Linked DNA regions of Stegostoma tigrinum. The protein of the gene in region 1 interacts with the protein of each later gene in a pairwise test. Links are inferred from orthologs where the notes say so. Each region holds a gene or a part of one and is shown on either strand. Other genes may lie near its edges.

Region 1 (10,236 bases):
TACTACATTGGAAAAGTTGCTGTTTTGTAGTTAAACAGTCTATTATTCTGATAACTTTTCCAATAGAGTTAAAGTTATGCCAATTCTTCTTTGTTTTGTTTGTATTTTAACTGTAGAGTAAGAATATAGTGTGTTTTGCTTAAAGCTGAGTAGTGTAACCAATCAAATTACACCTGGAACACAGCACCTTATACTTGACTTCAAATAAGAAAAAGTTAGGGTCGAGGCTATCTCCTTGATATACTTGAAAGGGGCTTGGTCTGGTCTATAACAAACTGAGGGCTCTTAATGGGATCAAAACCTTTATTTCCAGGTTTGGCTTAGAATTATTGGACGATGAGCATTGGTGCTTTCTTTTTCGGGTGTTGTATTCAGTTGGTTTAAACAGGGTGTGCCTTGTGTAGTATTGGCTCTTTCAGTTCAGTTTTGCGGCGATGGAAAATGTCACTTCGGCAGTTTTACGGAAAGTGAGCAAGGCAAAGCTTTTAAAGTTGGCAAACAAATTGAAATTGGAGTTGCCTGTGAGGAAACAGGATATTATTGTGGCAATAATTCTGCATTTATAATTGCCAGAAATGCAAACAGAATCATAGGAAGTGGCTAAAATTCAATGGCAAATGAATTGGCTTGACTATGCAAAGGAAATCAAACAATTTGAATTATGAGTAAACACAGAGGAAAAAGAAAAAGGTCTTAGTACAAGAGAGGGAGAAAGTGAGAAGTTTTGAACTTCAGAAGTTGGCAATGAAAGGGGGAAGTCAACTTAAAATGGCGAGGGTAGAAAGCAGGAGTAGTGATGGGGACAGTGATGAAGAGCATACCAATCATAGACAAACGCCTGGTGGGGATCTGTTTAAATATGTCCAAGCATTACTAAAGTTTGATGAGAAGGATGCAGAGGCTTTTTTCATTTGATTTGAGAAAGTAGTATAAAACTGAAATGGCTGGTGACCATGTGGATATTGTTGATTCAAACCACGTAGAGCTAGAGAGGTATTTGCATCACTATCAGAGGAGGTAACTGGGGAATATAAGGAGGTGAAAAATGCCATTTTAAATGCATATGATTTTGTGCAAGAAGCCTTCAGACAATGTTTTAGGAATCTACGAAGGGAACTTGGTCAAACACATATTGATTTTGAAAGGATCAAACAAAGCATTGAAAACAGATCAGACATATGATGGTCTTAGAGAGATTGATATTTTGGAGGAGTTCAAAACTTCGCTTTCTGAAGTAATGAGAATTTATGTGGAACAGCAGAGAGCTAAACTGCAAGATTGGCAACGGAAATGACTGTTGATTATGAGCTAGTTCATATATCAAGGTTTGGCTTCCAACATCAATTTTACTCTGTGAGGGATAGAAATTGGGGAAAAGAGAAATCCCCAGGTGGTATAGGAAAATGAGACCTCTTTGAAGATAGTAAAGGTAGTTTAACACAGATTTTAAAAAACACATTTGGCGGGGGGAGGGGTGGTTGGGGAGAAAATTAAAAACCCTCCGGTGTTTTAACTGCATGAAGTTGCAGTGTTAATGGTTTAAGAAAAGCAATGGGAAGATGGATGTGACAAAACAAGATAAGCCAGTGGGTTTTATTAAATTGATAAAGGAGATCCCATTGGAAGCTACAAAAGAATGTACAGCCTAGTTAGGGGTTGGTTAGTAAGGAAGTACCAGATCTATTTAAAGAATTTACCTGCATGGGGAAGGTTTACTCATGTACAAGAGTCATAATCAATCATAATCATGAATTCAAACTATGTACCTCTAATCCCACAGACACAATCACATAACACAAAAGCACAGAAGTATGGACAGAGAAGTTATTTTACAGAAAACAAAAGTGGAAAACAACATCTGGTCAAGGGTCTGGGATTTCTCATGGTCAATAAAAGTGAATTGTTGATAGCCATGGAATGATATAAAATATGCATTTCTGATTGCTTTCGCCCTGCCTTTGGAAATTAAGCAGTCTAACTGAATACTTTTTATAGAAATTTAGTCAGAAATTCTGGGAAATGCAATTTCATCCAGTTCCCATGAACTTCAGCTGAGAAAGTAATTATTTGTGAATTGGATCCAGATTATTTGTTGGTCTGAATTCCTTGTTGTTTGGATCTGGATTACTTGTGGGTCCAGTTTGTTTGCAATCTGGAGTAGGATATCTGGTTGTGATGGATGAGTTGGCTGTAGAGTCTGTTTCCATGCAGTACTTCTCTATGACTCTGAAACACGATTTGCAGATCTGGATTGTTGGTGGGTGTGGGTCAGTGCGGATTGCAGTTCCTGGTCAATGAAGATCAGTGTGGGTTTTGGCTCCGGGTCAATGTGGGTCTGGGTTACGGTCTGGATTGGTGCGGGTCGCGGGTTCGGGTTATGGTTCTGGGTCGGTGTGGGTCTGGGTTACGGTCTGGATTGATGTGAATCCCGGGTTTGGGTTATGGTTCTGGGTCTGGGTTACGGTCTGGATTGGTGCAGGTCGTGGGTTCGGGTTATGGTTCCGGGTCAGTGTGGGTCTGGGTTACGGTCTGGATTGGTGCGGTTCGCGGGTTCCGGGTCAGTGTGGGTCTGGGTTACGGTCTGGATTGGTGCAGGTCGTGGGTTCGGGTTATGGTTCTGGGTCCGTGTTGGTCTGGGTTACGGTCTGGATTGGCGCGGGTCGCGGATTCGGGTTATGGTTCCGGGTCAGTGTGGGTCTGGGTTACGGTCTGGATTGGCGCGGGTCGCCGGTTGGGGTTATGGTTCCGGGACAGTGGGGTCTGGGTTACGGTCTGGATTGGTGCAGGTCGCGGGTTCGGGTTATGGTTCCGGGTCGGTGTGGGTCTGGGTTATGGTCTGGATTGGTGCAGGTCGCTGGTTCGGGTTATGGTTCCGGGTCGGTGTGGGTCTGGGTTATGGTCTGGATTGGTGCAGGTCGCTGGTTCGGGTTATGGTTCCGGGTCAGTGTGGGTCTGGGTTACGGTCTGGATTGATGTGAATCCCGGGTTTGGGTTATGGTTCTGGGTCTGGGTTACGGTCTGGATTGGTGCGGGTTGCGTGTTCGGGTTATGGTTCCGGGTCAGTGTGGGTCTGGGTTACGGTCTGGATTGGTGCGGGTTGCGTGTTCGGGTTATGGTTCCGGGTCAGTGTGGGTCTGGGTTACGGTCTGGATTGGTGCGGGTTGCGTGTTCGGGTTATGGTTCTGGGTCAGTGCGGGTCTGGGTTATGGTCTGGATTGGTGCAGGTCGCAGGTTCGGGTTATGGTTCTGGGTCAGTGTGGGTCTGGGTTACGGTCTGGATTGATGTGAATCCCGGGTTTGGGTTATGGTTCTGGGTCTGGGTTACGGTCTGGATTGGTGCGGGTCGTGGGTTCGGGTTATGGTTCCGGGTCAGTGTGGGTCTGGGTTACGGTCTGGATTGGTGCGGGTCGTGGGTTCGGGTTATGGTTCCGGGTCAGTGTGGGTCTGGGTTACGGTCTGGATTGGTGCGGGTTGCGTGTTCGGGTTATGGTTCTGGGTCAGTGTGGGTCTGGGTTACGGTCTGGATTGGTGCGGGTTGCGTGTTCGGGTTATGGTTCTGGGTCAGTGCGGGTCTGGGTTATGGTCTGGATTGGCACCGGTCGCGGGTTCGAGTTGTGGTTCTGGGTCAGTGCGGGTCCAGGTTGCAATCCGGGTTTGTGCGGGTCGAGTTTGCAGCCCAGGTTTGTGTGGGTCGAGTTTGCAGTCTGGGTCAGTGCAGAGCTGGGTCAGTGCAGGTCCAGGTCAGTGCAAGTCTTGGTCCGGGTCAATGCGGGTCTGGGTCGGTGCGGGTACGGGTGCAGTTCTGAATCCGGGTCAGTGTGGGTGCAAGTCAGTGCAGGTTGGGTTCGTGTCAGTGCGAGTACAGGTCGGTGTGGGTCTGGGTCCGGGTCAGTGCGGGTCCAGGTCAGTGCAGGCTTGGGTCCTGGTCAGTGCGGGTACAGGCCAGTGCATGTACAGGTCAGTGCAGGTCCGTATCCAGGTCGGTGTGGATCCAGGTCAGTGCAGGTCAGGGTCCGGGTCAGTGAGGGTCTGGGTCAGTGCGGGTCTGGGTCCGAGTCAGTGCGGGTGCGGATCAGTGCAGGTCTGGGTCCGGGTCAGTGCGCGTCTGGGTCCGGGTCAGTGCAGGTCTGGGTCCGGGTCAGGGTCAGTGCGGTCTGGGTCCAGGTCAGTGCGGGTGTGGATCAGTGCAGGTCTGGGTCTGGGTCAGTGCAGGTCTGGGTCAGTGCAGGCCTGGGTCCGGGTCAGTGCAGGTCTGGGTCAGTGCAGGCCTGGGTCCGGGTCAGTGCAGGTCTGGGTCAGTGCCGGCCCAGGTCACGGGCCCAGGTCAGTATGAGTTGGTGTGGGGTGCAGATCAGTGCAGGTCCTGGTAGTTGCTGGCCCAGGTATGGGTCTGTGCAGATTCTTTATAGCATCAGAGACAGTAGCTGTGCCTGTGAGGCAGTCAAGGACATTCAGCCCTGGATCTTTGCGTAAGCATCCTCCAAAGTAGACTTCAGGAGACACAACAACACAGAATCGCCAAGCAGAGGCTGATAGCCCAGTTCGGTACCCATGAGGATAAGGATGGGATCTTGGGTTCATATCGCACTACAGGCTGACCCCACCACACTATACAGTCTCACACACGCATTCATACACTGCCCCCCCCCCCCACATTCTGTTTCTGTCTCCCCCCCACACACACACACTCTCACACACACACATATACTCTCCCTCTCCCTGACATACTCATCCACACCCCCACGCACTCTCTTTCCCCTCCTCTCTCTCATACACGCACCTATACACAAATGGTCTCTGTCCAGCTCTCACACATACACACACTCTTCCCCTCCCACACACACGTGCACACAAACTCTCTTCCCACACAGACACTTTTTCTTTCCCCCTTTCCCTGACACACACACACACACCCTCTCTGTCTCCCCTTCACTCATTCACTTTCTTTCAGACACACATGTGAATCTATGGGGTGAATTTATATTTGCAGATACATTTTATTTTGCTCAAAAAGTGCACAATTTACAGACAATGTAGTGTTTTATAAATTTCTACTTTAGAAATAAAACCGGTCTGACTCCAAACAAGACCTCACACCTAACATGCGTTGTCTGACCTTTAGTATATATATTGTGTTTATAAATTCTGTGTATATAAAGATCTTTATGCTGATAAAATCTTTAGTTCTCTCAGGACAGGGACTTGAAAACAAGTTGACGATTTACATATACTTGTTAATCAATTAAAACCATCTGACTGACTGAAGATTTAACAGCATTTTCGGTTTGTTTAGTATATCCTCATCAGTGGTGTGACCCTTTGAGCTGTTACTTATAAATTCGGTGTTTGATACCACCTCTCTCACGAAGACCTGAGGAAGGAGTGAGGCTGTGAACGTTTGTGTTTTTAAACAAGCCCTTGGACCATAACTTGATTGTCGTGTGTGGTTTCTGATCTTGCCTGGTGGGGGCGCCGTCTGCGGCGGGCTGGCGGCCGGCGTTTGGATGATGGCGGAGGACAGCGAGTCGGCAGCAAGTCAGCAGAGCCTTGAGCTGGATGATCACGACACCTGCGGCATCGATGGAGATAACGAGGAGGAAAATGAGCAAACGCACAGGTAGTGGGCGGCGGGGAGAGGGCTGGGGCAGAGTAGCCCTGCGCTGGGCCGTTCTGGGTTTGGCGGGGGGTGTGTGTTTTGGGGAGGGGGACTCGGGGCCCTGGGCCCGGCAGGCTGCCTGTTGTAGGTTCGGGGGGCGTTTGTGCGCTGTTTGCAACTGGCAGGTAAACCGTTAAGACATTGGGTGTCTGCACCGTGTCCATGTCGGGCTAGTAAATGAAGATCGAGCCCCTGGACTGTGCAGGTTGGCAGCTTCAATCTCCTGCGCCATGTGGGTATGGCAGGTAATGTGGGGGAAACGGGGCAGGAACTGGGTTGGCTGGGAATCTGGACATCTTTTTCCTCCTCCACCGCCCTTGCACGGCTTATCTCAAAGCTTGCAAGGCGCAGAAATCAATGAAATGTTTCTAATCAGCATTTTACCAATTCCGTCTTCCTCTTCTGTAAACGGCCCCTGCCTCCAGTCTGCTGTTTGTGTCATGAAAATGACAGTGAGGTGAACTGACTGGAATCTTTAACAAAAAACAGAAATTGGTTGAAAAATTCAGCAGGTATGATACCTGCGAACAGAAAACAGATTAAAGTTTCGTGTCTGGCGATCCTCCTTCAGAGCTGCTGAGTTTTTCCTGCATTGAATTGAACCCAATGCCACCGGCAAGTTCATAAATTGATATTTTTTATTCTAAATACTGAGGAATGTTTACAAACTTCATAAATCTCTGTTTAGCCCTCAGTTGAATGTTCAGCAACGGTTCTAGGCATCAGATTTCTGGAAATGTGTAAAGATCTTAGAGTACAGAAGATTACTCTGGTGTCACAAAAGACAAGAGACTTCAGTTGTGAGAAGAGATTGGGAACATTAAAGCTGCTTTCCTTGGAACATTCAAGGCGAAGCGTTGCCTGCCAAGGTGTGGTGTTATGATAGCGTATGTAGGAAAAAAACGATTCCCCTGGCAAATGATAGTAACCTGTGGCCGTAGATTTAAAAGCATTGGTAGAAGACTTTTTTTGTTTATTCTTTTTGTGGGATTGGATATCCATTCTTAATTACACTTGAACTGAATGATTTGCTAGGCCGTTCATAGAACAGTTGAGATAAGTTATGTATTCTAGATTTATTAATTTAATTCAGATTCCACCAGTTGCTGTCGTGGGATTTGATCCCTGATTGTCTGGATTGCTAGTCCAGTGATGTTACTACTATGCCATCATTCCAAATCAGAAGAAATTCTTTATTCCGAATGTGGTCGAGATCTAGAATACTCTACCCTGAATGTTAAAGCAAATGTAACACACTGTTTTAAGAAAGGGAGGAGACAAAAATCATAAAACCTAATGTCAGTTAATCTGACATCTTTTGACGAAAATGTTGAAATTCATTATTGAAGTAGTAGCATTTAGAAAATTATATAATTAAGCAGAGTCAACATAGTTTCATGAAAGGGAAACCTTGTTAAACTGATTTATTTGACGCTCCTTGAGGATGTAATATGTAAGGCAGATAAAAGGGAACCAGTGATGTAGAGTGGAGCTGGATGAACACAGCAGGCCAAGCAGCGTCTTAGGAGCAGGAAAGCTGACGTTTCAGGCTTCGACCCTTCAGCAGAACTGCTTTTCTGATGAAGGGTCTAGGCCTGAAACGTCAGTTTTCCTGCTCCTAAGACGCTGCTTGGCCTGCTGTGTTCATCCAGCTCCACACCTTGTTATCTCAGATTCTCTAGCATCTGCAGTTCCTATTATCTCTTATCAGTGATGTAGAGTATTTAGATTTCCAAAAGACATTCAGTAAGGTATCACACAATTTGTTACTCTGCAAGATAAGAGCTGATGGCACTAAGAATAATACATCAGCATGGACAAAGTATTGGCTAACTAAAAACTGTTGTCTGAACTGTTTACAATTTTTATTAGTGACGTGAATGAAGAGACGGAGTCTGTTGTTGCCAAATTTGTCGATCAAACAAAGATAAGGTAGGAAAGCAATGTGTGAGGAGGCCAGAAAGCCTGCAAAGGATTATAGATAAGCTAACTAACTATGTGATGTAGCTAAATGGATATATTGTGGAAAAAATATGGGGTTTACTACTTTGGAACAATGAAACATTATTTAAGACGAGACTGCAAAATGCTGTGGTACACTAGGATCTTGTACAGAATCATAGAGTACAGCTGCATCAAATAGTTTGGAAGGTAAAGAGAGTGTTGAACTTCGTTCTTAGGAATTAGAGTAAGTCATGAACCCATTTTTGGCCCTACAGAATAAATCAATCCCAAAGTGAAACATGGCTTGATAGATAGATATATGTTTAACTTTTTCATTAGTTCATTCACATTGTGTTTGGTCATACAAGGCTGTAGATGTTGTTTAAGAACAGAACCTAAATTTATTGCACAAAAGAGGCAAAAGCAAATTAAACAATATCGAAGACAGATTAGCAGATTCTTAACATAAGCAGTAAAATAATTGTTTCCACCTAAGTGATTCCTTACAATTTCATTTCACGGACCCTGTGGACAGTTTTACACTTGTTTTCCATCTTCAGGTATGATTGTTTCATAATTCTGAGGGCCTAAACTTTTCTCAGTTTTAACAGCTTGAATACTTCCATTAAAGGTGTCTCAGCTTGGAAACACCTCTGAAGTGACTGATCCTCTGATCAGAGTTGAAAAAAGCTTAATTTCCCCTGCTAGGAGAAACTATTCTTTCTTCTAACTTGAACTCTGATTCTTCTGATGTAATTTTGAACCTTCCGTTCTGAAGCTGAAACTAAACTAATTACCATTATACGTTTACACCACCTTTTATAAATATAAACAAATGTAAACATTTAATGTATTAACACCACAAGAGGCTGATAGGCTGTTCACTGAAGTTACATGTCTTCTTATCAATGATGTATTTAGGTCAGTGTTCCAAAATGACCTTCTGATTTATTATACAAACATTACAGAACTGCCAAAAAAAGAAATTGCTGCTGTTTTAACGTCCACCTTCAAAGAATGATAGGAATGATAAATAATGGTAAGCAATAACATATAGAAAGGAAAGAGTAAAAGGAAAGTAAAGACCAAAAAGGAAAAAAGTAAGCAGAGTGAGTGTTCATCCTCCCAACAGTTCATAAGTCACAATCAGAAATGCAGTAAGTCATAATGGGGAAGAAAAAGATGGTCGACCAATTAAATATACTTTTAATCTGTTTTTATAAAGGAGGATGCAAATAACATTCCGAAGTGTTAGGGAACTCAAGGTAGAGTGTAAGAGTGGATTGAGTCAATATTAGTAGGGAAATGCTGTTGGGGAAATTAATGGTATTACAGGCTAATAAACCCCAGGGCCTGATAATTTATATTCCGGAATATTTAAGGAAGTGGCCCTAGAAATAATGGATGTAGTAATGGTTATCTTTCAGAATTCTAGAGGCTTGGACTAGTCTGGAGTATAGGTGTTGTATTCCCACAATTTACAAATGGAGAGAGTGAAACAGAGAATTACAGACAAGTTAGCCTGACGCTGGTTTTGGGGGACATGCTAGATTTCATTATAAAAGATTTTGTAGCAAAACACTTGAAAATCAGTCACAAGATTGGACAGAGTCAGCATGGGTCAGTCATAAAAGGGAAATCATGCTGACAAATCTACTAGAACTTTTTGAGGATATAACTAGTACGGTTGACAAGGAGATGCCAGTGGATATAGTTTACTTGGACTTTCAAAAGCTTTTGACAACATTCCACATGAAAGTCTAGCATATTGTATTCAGGTATATGGGGTTGGGGATAGGGTTCTAGCATGGATCGGGCACTGGTTGGCAGACAGAAGTCAGAGTGGGAATAAATTGGTAATTTTCCAAGTGGCACGTACTGACTAGTAGGGTACTGCAGGGACCAATGCTTGGGCTGCAGCTATTTATAATACATCAATGAATGGATGAGAGGACTAAATGTAATATCTCTAAATTTGCAGATGACAGAATAGGATGGGAGAGTGAGCTGTGAGGAGGATGAGAGATATTTCAATGTTGAGACAAGTTGAGTGAGTGGCAGAGGCAAGACAGGTGATGTACACTGTGGATAAATGTGAAGTTATCCACTTTAGTAGCAAATACACGAAGGCAGATCATTATCTGCATGGTGATAGGTTGGGAAAGAGGGATAGCAGCCTGGGTGTCCTTGTACGCCTGTCACTGAAACTAAGCAGTCAGGCTTTTGTGGTACTGTGGTACAAACAACCTTTGAGTCAGAACACACGGATTCAAGTCCCATCTGTTCCACATTATGTTATAACATGTCTGAACAGGTTCATTAAAAATACCTACTGATAAATTGAGCTTTGTAGAAAGCATTTGGTATGAAGACCTTCATGATGAGAGGATTCAAGTATAGGAGCAGGGATATCTTGCTGTATAGGGCCTTGGTGAAACTGCACATCAGAACCAAGAGTAGGAGTAGACAATGTCGCCTTGAACCTGCTTTGCTATTCAATTCAGTATGGCTAATCTAATTTCAGACTCAACAGCACTTTCTTGCCTCCTCCCCATAACACCTGGAGAAGTTTTTAATATTACTCATTCCTGGGACTTGGGTACTACTGGCTGGGCCAACATTTATTGCCTGTCCGT
Region 2 (9,556 bases), on another chromosome or scaffold:
AACAGTAACAAGTTGCCTCATAAAGGAAGATAAGCAAAAGGGTTACCACTTGGCTAGGCCTGGAATTAAAGACACATTCTTATTTGTTTGTTGGATATGAGTATCAATGGCAAAACCAACATGTTGACCATCCTGCATAAAACTGAGTCGTTTGCCAGATCATTTCAGAAGATAGTCAAGAGTCAACTGATTTTTTTACTTCAGGAATCAGATGCAGGCAAAACAGGGTAAGAATTAGATTTTCTTCCCTGAAGAACATTTGTGAAACAGATAGGTTTTTACAGCAATCTGGTAGGTCTGTGGTCATGAATTCAGATTTATTGATTTATTGAATTTAAATTCCATCAGTGGCAGTGGAGGAATTGCATTTCCAAACTTTGTCCAGGTCTCTGGATTATCAGCTTTGTAACACTACCAGTAGGCCACCATTCCTTACCTCTGATACTTGCTCTTTGGAAATTGGACAATCAAGTGGGAAGATGAAATTGATTGACTGATTGACATGAGATGGCTGCACATCCATAAAAATTAAAGTGCACAAACAAGCACTCAGTAAGGAAAAAGCATAAAAAAAAGGAAGTAATTGTTGCAGCACACAACAGAAACCAGGCCACCATCAAATTCTGAACTAATAAACCTTCTCATCTATCACTAGTTACATATCTACACTTTCAACTCCAATTATGTGCTGTATTTAAACTGTCACTTCTTAGTAAACCACCTTACAGGAACTACTTATGAGCCACAAACTATTTGAGCAGTGCTATCCTTGGCCAAATCTTTTATAAGGTATCAGGATATTACTGAAGGGTTTCTATTTATTTTCATCAACAAATATAGGGAATCAATGTTTATATTCATTCCTGTAGTTTACATTTAGATTGGAACTTAAGTTCTTGTATTGATTTCTCTGTGACTTGTTTATGATCATCCTAGCATTTACCCATTATGGATTTGCCCTTTTGTTCAAATTGCTAGGGTTTACTTAATTTTACCTGTCCCTTGCATCATTACCACAATCGTAAAAGTTTAGCTATTCATACTTGTTGCCCAACTGCCATCTATCCCTCACCTCTATACAATCCTTGGTGAGAGCTATGCCTATTCATACTTGTACCTTAGAGTTTACCTATATTGGAGATTTTACCTGTTTGTGGTGAGCATTATAGCTGTTGGCACACGTCTCTTGGGCTCAACTGTTTTAGTGGGTTTTAGGCACTTTGTACCTTTTCAGGGATGCCTGTTTTACATGTTTATGGAGGCTTTTATTTACCTACTGTCAAGGTATGTTTTAACTGTTACAAGTGAGCATCATCTTTCAAGCTGCTCCAGGGGCACATTTTATCTTTCAACCTTTTTCAGGAAAACACGCAAATTAAAGCAAAGGAGGGAGACACAGTGGCTCAGTAGTTAGCAATGCTATCTCACAGCACCAGAGATCCTGGTTCGGTTCCTCTTTTGGACTGTGTGGAGTTTGCATTCTCTCCATATGTTTGCGTGGGTTTTCACTAGGTGCTCCGATTTCCTCCCACAATCAGAAGAAGCATGAAATTGTTAGTGTGAAAGCAGGCCATTTGGCCCATTGGGTCCACACTAACATCCATGGGCTGTGGGTACACAAAGATGTGCAGTTTAGGTGGATTGGCCATGCTATATTGTCCTGTGATGTTCAGGGATGTGTAGGCTAGGCGGATTAGCCATGGGAAATGCAGCCTGGCAGGGATTAGGTTGGGGAGGTGTGTCTGGGTGTCATCAGAGGGTCATTGTTGACTCGATGGGCCAAATGGCTGTATGGATTCTTAGATTTCTATGAAAATAGTGCGGACACTGGAAATCTGAAACATGAACAGTGCTGGAGAAACTCAGCTGGTCTGGCAGCTGAGAGAGAGAAACAAAATTAACATTTTAAGTCTGAAATTTCAGGAGTCTTTGAAATGACCATGATGCTTGCCATATCAGGCTCGAAAGGATAACTCCTGCTTCTTCTCTTCCTAAAGATCTGAGGAAGGGTCACTCAACCCGAAGCGTCAATTCTGGTTTCTCTCCACAGATGTTACCAGACCTGCTGAGCTTTTTCAGCAACTTTTTTTTGTTTTTCTCTCCTCCTCCAGATGCTGCCAGACTTGAGTTTCCCCAACACATTTTTTTTATACAGGTCTGTTTCTGTGCCGTAGGGGGACAGGTTTAAATAAAAGCAAAACACTGCGAATGCTGGAAATCTGAAAATATGAACACGAAGTGCTGGGTAAACTCAGTGAAGTGTTCAGAGATAGCAAGAATTGCAGATGCTAGGGTCAGAGACAACAGAGTGGAGCTAGAGGAACACAGCAGGCCAGGCAGCATCAGAGGAGCAGGAATGCTGACATTTTGGGTCAAGACCCTTCTTCAGCAATAGGGGAGGGAAATAAATAGAGGGGAGGGGTAGGGATTGGGAAGGTGATAGGTGAGTGCAGATAGGGAGTGGTGGGGATTAGTCAGTGGGATGGCAGGGATGGAGAGGTGAGAGAGAAGATGGACAGGTTGTGTGTCAAGTCAAGAAGACAGGGATGAGGAGATTTTAAAACTGGTGAATTCCACATTTAGGCCATTGGGCTGTAGGCTCCTCAGGCGGAATATGAGTTATCGCTCCTCCAATTTGATGTCTCTATGGGGTGGCCCAGGATGGCAATGTCACCCAGGCAGTGGGAGGGGAATTAAAATGGTTGGCAGCTGGAAGGTGTTGTCGTTTGCCATGTACAGATGCTCTATGAAACGGTCTCTGAGTGTACACTTGGTCTCAATGATGTCGAAGAGGCCATGTTGGGAGCAGCAGATATGGCAGACCAAGTTGACAGATGTACAGATCAATCCCAGTCTGAAAGGTTTGTTTTGGGCCTTGATTGGAGCTGAGGGGGTGTAGCACTTCCTGCAGTTGCTGGAAAAGATGTCTAGTGTAGCAGGGCTAGTGGGGAGTGTGCAGCAGATGAGGGAGTTGCAGAGTGAGCAGTTCCTAGGAAAGGCAGTTAGCGGTGGCATGGGAATATAGCTGGCGGAGAATGATACAATGGATGCAGAGATTAGTGGAGTGGTAAGTGAGGACCGGGGGATTCTGTTTTTGTTTTAGGTGGGGGGGGTTTGAGGGCAGAAGTGCGGGAAATGCAAGTGATGCGGTCAAGAACATTTTCGATCACCGGAGAGGGAAAGTTGACAGTCCTTGACGTAGGAGGACATCTGGGATGTCCCGGAGTGGAACACCCTATCTTGGGAGGGGACATGGCGGAGGGGTTGGGAGTAAGGAATTGTATTCTTGCTGTAAGGTAGGTGAGAGATGGTGTAGTCCAGGTAGCTGCAGGAGTTGGTGGGTTTGAAACAGACGTCAGTTTCAAGGAGGGCACCAGACATACATACCCGCCGTCACCGACCAACACCCCACTTCATTCATTCCTTCATTCCTTCCTTCCCTTCTATTAATTTCGCAGCTCCCTCTCCTTCCGGAAGAGTCCCGACCCGAAACGTCAACTTTCCCGCTTCCCCGACGCTGCCTGGGCCGCTGTGTTGCTCCAGCATCCACACAGGTGTTATCTCAACACAGTTTTGTTGTTGTAATGTCTACGTGTCCCTCCCCCCCACCACACACACACACACACACACACACACACACACCTGTTTGAAGCGGCTGTACAGGTAGAGCAGAGTCTCGCGGCCGGCCGCATGCGCGAGCGTCTGCACGTGCGCGGCCGCGCGCTCGAACTCAGTCTCCAGCGCGCGCCCGCCTCCTCCTCCTCCTCCTCCGCCCTCAGTCTCCGGCACACGGTCCTCGCTATCGCTCGCCTGGTCTGACACCGCCGCCATCTCGGGTAGGGAGCCCGTGACCCAGGCTCCGGGGGAAGTTCCCCACTGACCTGTTAATTATTCGCTGCCGAGGCAACGAAGCCGTGGGAGAGAAGTAGAGAAAGAGTCCAGCTCCGACCGTTTAACCGCTGGTTCTTTTGCACCCCACCCCCACCCCCCGCTACTTCTCACACCGCTGCCCGTCCCGGAGCTGTCAACACTCCGGGTGGAACGCACCGGCCGCCGTGCGAAGGTTCCGCAGCGAAAATGCACCTTATTCTTTTGAACGTGCCCCGACACATTTAACAAAACAAAAAGTCGCGTCGCTTTCTGCTTTTACGTTTGTTTTCGAGCCACGTCTCCCACACTGATTTTAAGCTTTCGCGTGATGTTGGCAACAGCATTGCAGGTAATTTTGGTGACCGATAATACAGTATAGCAGTTTGACAAATTGGAGCACTGCATGGTGTTATGTAGAACTGCCTTAGAAATAGGGGGATCTACCAACACACTACCCTGTATGGGTTTCAGCTCGTAATGAAGGTTTGCTATTTGAAACTACATGGAGTCTTTGGTCTAGACAGGTGAAAAAAAAATTCCTTGTTTTAACCAGAGAGTTTTCTGTGGCTCACAAAACACGTTGGATCAGATTTTTCGTGGATTTGCAATTTCTCACAGATTTGCCACATTTTTTTCTACTTTATATCAGGCGATTCCTATCAGGACTCATTCAGAAATGTGGAGCTTTGTACTTCATTCTGACCTGTACCCTTCTAGTGCAAAATTCTGGGCCACAACCTTTTTTTTAAAAGCAGTTCAGCTACAGTGTTCTGAAATTTAAAGGTCTGGAATCAGACAGCCTCTTCGACTGCTATGTTAAGATAAGTGTTAGATGGGAATGGTGGGAGGGTAAAAGTGCTGGGTAAATCGGTGCCAGGTGGGTAGTTTGACAGAGGTAGCATGTTCAGGATGAGAGGAAGTGGGTGAACAGCTTCATAAAATGAGAGGACCTGTTTGATAAAGACAGTAATAGCAGGAGATATTATCCAACAACAGAGTCCCTTCACTTTGTTTCTTCCTGTAAGAGTAAAAGTGTGACAGCACAGGAAGATATGTGGATAATTGTTCACCACTGATGATCCCCGTAAGCAGCTATTCATCCTCCCAGACTGGCCTTTACCCATTTCTTTTGCTACTCAACTGTTTTTCTGTCTCTGTTGGCTCCATCTATCATTTACTTCTATATAACCAGGTCAAACAGGACTCAATGAGATGACCCACACATTGACAAAGGCACTCAAGGACAGTACTTGATCAAAAATTAAGGCATGTAAAATGGCAAAAACTAGTGGTAGGCCAGAGGATTTTAGGAGCCATTATTGGACAACTAAAGACCTAAATAAACAGAGAAAATTTGAGTTTTGATACTAAATTAGCAACATTTATGAAAGCAAAGGACTTTGTATAGGACTTTGGTTCAACCACATTTGGAATACTGCGTACAATTCTGGTGGACACATTATCAAAAGGATGTGGATGCTTTGAAGGGAGTACAGAGGAGGTGCACCAGGATGTTGCCTGATATGGAGGGAGCTAGTTATGAAAAGAGGTTGAGTAGATTAGGATTATTTACATTAGAAAGAAGGAGATTGAGGGTGAATCCGATTGAGGTCTACTAAATCATGAGAGATATAGACAGGGTGGATAGCAAGAAGCTTTTTCCCCAGAGTGTGGTACTTAATTACTAGGAGGTCACGATTTCAAAGTGAGAGGGGAAAAGTTTAAGGGAGATGTGTGTGGAAAATTCTTTATACAGAGGGTGATGGGTGCCTGGAATGCGATGCCAGCGGAGGTGGTAGAGCCAGGCAAGATACTGTCATTTAAGATGTATCTGGACAGATACGTGAGTGGGCAGGGTGCAGAGGGATACAGATCCTTGGAACATAGGCAACAGGTTTAGTTAGAGAATCTGGATCTGCACAGGCTTAGAGGGACAAAGGGCCTGTTCTTGTGCTGTAATTTTCTTCGTTCACATAGTGAGACCTCCAAGGGTACATTAAAAGACAGTAATTAAAGTAAGCATAGGAACTTGGAGGATATGACTATAGAATTGATAATGGGAAACAGGTAAGCAGATGATTTTAAATCAATACTTTTACAATGGTCTTCATGGTAGGGGATAATATAAATACCCCAAAGAATACAAATAAGCAAGATGCTATTAAGAGAAGAGGCCTTGTTGTAGGCTCTATAATGAGGGACAAAGTATTTCACAAACTAATGGGGCTAAAGGTAAACTAGGACCTGATAGCCTGCATCCAAAAAATTTAAAGAAGGTGGCTGCAGAGATAGTGAAGATATTGGTCTAAAATCGTGAGAATTCACTGGATTTGAGGAGGGTTCCTGTGGATTGGAAAACTGCTTATGTGACAACCCTGTTCAAGAAGGGATGGAAACAGAAAGCAGCAAACTGTAGGCTGGCTAACATCTGTTATTAGGAAAATTATTAAGGAAGAGATAGTGGGGCATTTAGAAAGGTTGAATGCAACCAGATAGTATCAACATGGTTTTGTGAAAGGGAAATTGAACTTTGGCTTTTGTTGCTAGAGAGTTGCAGTTTGAAAACAGTAAAAACCTTGTTACAACTGTACAGGGTCTTAGTGAGGTCGCACCTGGAATATGGTGTACGGTTTAATCCCTGTATTTTAAAAATGTGTATACTGGTATTGAGGACTATACAAAAGTGCTTCACTGGACGACTACTTCTGATGAAGTATTTGATAAATTAATTATCCCCGAAAAATAAGGGAAGCTCACCTTTCCCTTGTAATCTGTTAAAAGAGGGGTTAAATGAAAGAAAATCCCTGATTCAGTTTATAAATAACAAGAAACAATTCCTTTATTTAACCCGAACAATGAACAAAATAACAGAATTGCTAACAAAGCAAACAATACTCCTATAGACTACAAACTACTCCCTAACTGACCTAAATTCTACTGGAATGCTGTTCAAATAAACACAAGTCCCACTTATATAAACCCAGTTAATAACACAACAATAAATTAAAACTTAATCTCTCCAAAGTTCACACAGACTGTCTTCTGCAACACTGTGCCTTCTCCAGCCTTTTTCCTGTCGATCTCACATACCAAATGTCTGTCTTCCGCTGTTTCTGCTGTCAGGGATGTTTTCCTCTGCATTCATTTAAGTGAGGACTTTTAGCAAGAACTGCCATGGTACCTTTTTATTAATTATATTGTGCTTTCTCTGAGAGCTGAATGGTGTTGTCTCTTGGCAGTTGGCTCTCCCTGAAATACCCTCATCTTTATACTCATGATGACATAACAATATTTCTCATGTAGGATTGCTGTTCCCAACGCCATCAGATTTAAATTTAGTAGGTTTTTAGCATCTCAGGGCTTGGTTTAAATTGATTGGTTTAAATTTGAAAAGACCTGTTGTCTTGGTAAAAATGCTGCTTGGCTGTTTGCTACAAAATGTTTCCATTCGGGCGCTGTTTCTGTGCACCTGCACTTCAAGTTGCTGGTCAGATATCCATTTTAACACTGAGCAGTGAAAAAACGCCATTTTTCAAGGTATGATGCACTGCTTTTCCCCACTATCATTTTTTACCAATATATTCTAACTTCCTGCCTTCTAATTCATGAATACTCTACACAACTTCGTAACAGAAGAATGAGGGTGAACTTATTGAAACGTACAAGATTCTGAGGGGCCTCGACAGGGTAGATGTTAGGATGTTCCCACTTGTGGGGGAATCTCAAATCAGGGACATAATTGCAGAATAAGTGCACACTTACTTAAAAATGAGAAGCAAAAGAATTTCTTCTGTCAGAGCATAGTGAATGTCTGGAATTTTCTACCCTGGAGGGAGTTATGGAGGCTAGATCACTTAAAGAGAAGGTCACCGATGGTAAGAACTGCAGATGCAGGTGTCAGAGAAGACTCAATGTGGAGACCCCTCTTTTCTCTATTTATTTCTGAGCTCCCTTCCCACCTCCCATTTCTGAAGAAGGGTCCTAACCCAAAACATCAACTTTCCTGCTCCTTTGATGCTGCCTGGCCTACTATGTTCCTCCAGCTCCACACTGTGTCATTTTCAAAGAGGAGGTACAGAGTTTTGAAATATCAGGAATTTGACACCTAGGCAGAGCTAGCCTGAAAGAGGTGTTGAAATCTGGCGCAGATCCACTGTGATCTTGTTGCACAGTGAGACAGGCTTCGGGGTCCAAATGGCCTACTCCAGTGTCTATTTCTTATGTTCTTACATCTTGGTCTTTCTGTGTGTAGGGTAATCTGGTCAATGTAATCATCCTGGTACCTAGCTTGCAATTCTCATCAAAGTAATATCTTTGGAGATTATTTACTGATTCGATTGTGTTGTGTGGTTCATTCTACCAGAGCAGGTATGGTTTGGTGAGTCTCCTGAATTGTGACTATACAAAGATGTATGCATACTGGTAGTCCTGCCACTGCTGGTCCAGTGATAACCATCAGATGGAAAATTCAGGAATCCAAGCTGAACTTGAGTGTTGGCACACAATATGATTCTGCCAAAATGGAAAATTGGTGATCTGTTATTCAATGAGAAATGATCTCTCATGAGTTGTACCATCAAGTACCACTTCGTGAGTTACGTCTTTTAGGATGTGTTGTGGTGATATGTTCACATTAGCTGTCATTGTCAGTTTTAGCTGTTAATATGTGTTGTACTGCCTTCTCAGGACAAATGATAATTAATAGCTGTAAAAGGTTCTGGTTATCTCAACATTGAAATGCTGTGTGACAGTAATGATATGGAAAGTTGGTCATGTTCAGCAGTTTGCCTTTCACTCATATGAATCTCACTAATGTGTTTGTACTTGTGCATCTTCTAAGCATTTTCCTTGTGTTGTGGTTCTGTACTGTATTGATGACCACTTGTGTTTTATTCTATCATTTAGGTCAGCAGATTTCTTGCAAATAAGTCCACAAGTGCTCTGCAGATGTCAACACAGGCTAGACAGCTTTTGAGCAGGTGTGACAAACTGTATTTTTTTTCCAATTTGTTAGTTTTATGTGCTTTGCTGACCCCAACAATAAAATTACATGTACCTAAAGCATGTAATTCTTGTGGTTGGTTGGCTTGTCAAGCTGGTTCATTGTTTTTCTGCAGACATTTCGTTACGATGCTGGGTAACATCATCAGTGCATCCTCTGATGAAACGCTAATGTGTTTTCCCTTCTGTTATTTGAACTCTGGAGTCCATTGAGCTGAGTTACCTCACTTCTAGTTTTCCTTGGCAGTGGAGTATATATTGGGGTTGAGCTCTATGTGTTTGTTGATGGCTTTCGTCGTGGAGTACCAGGTTACTAGGAATTCCCTTGTCTCTGTTTTGCTTGCCCCAGGGATCTTTCTGTCATCCCAGTTGAATTGGTGGTTCTCCTTATCCCTGTGGGATAGAGATGAGTGAGTATAGGTCGTGTCTTTTTGCAGCCAATTGACATTCATGTACGCTTGTTAATTTCCTTCCTGTTTGTCCGATGTAGTATTTGTCAGAAAAACTGGGTCAGAAGATGTGTATTACATGAACGACACCAGAAAGATACTACATGCCCCGACACACTCATCACGCTACCTTACATCAGGAACACATCTGAACTGACCACAAGACTTCAACAACCACCGGGCATCAGAGTAGCACACAAACCCACATCAACCCTATGACAACTGCTGACGCGAAC

Evidence for each region.
Region 2: the proteins of nmt2 (region 1) and acyl-CoA-binding domain-containing protein 6-like interact in binary tests that used the Homo sapiens proteins (3 or more experiments, as listed by UniProt). The link is inferred for Stegostoma tigrinum from reciprocal best matches to the Homo sapiens genes NMT2 and ACBD6.

What each region holds. Positions count from the first base shown.
Region 1 is NC_081355.1:112,692,600-112,702,835, forward strand, and holds the start of nmt2 (glycylpeptide N-tetradecanoyltransferase 2), read left to right. Parts: upstream 1-5,466; 5' UTR 5,467-5,504; coding exon 5,505-5,617; intron 5,618-10,236.
Region 2 is NC_081361.1:17,506,191-17,515,746, forward strand, and holds the start of acyl-CoA-binding domain-containing protein 6-like, read right to left. Parts: upstream 4,178-9,556; 5' UTR 3,832-4,177; coding exon 3,643-3,831; intron 1-3,642. UniProt on the Homo sapiens protein: Binds long-chain acyl-coenzyme A molecules with a strong preference for unsaturated C18:1-CoA, lower affinity for unsaturated C20:4-CoA, and very weak affinity for saturated C16:0-CoA. Does not bind fatty acids. Plays a role in protein N-myristoylation.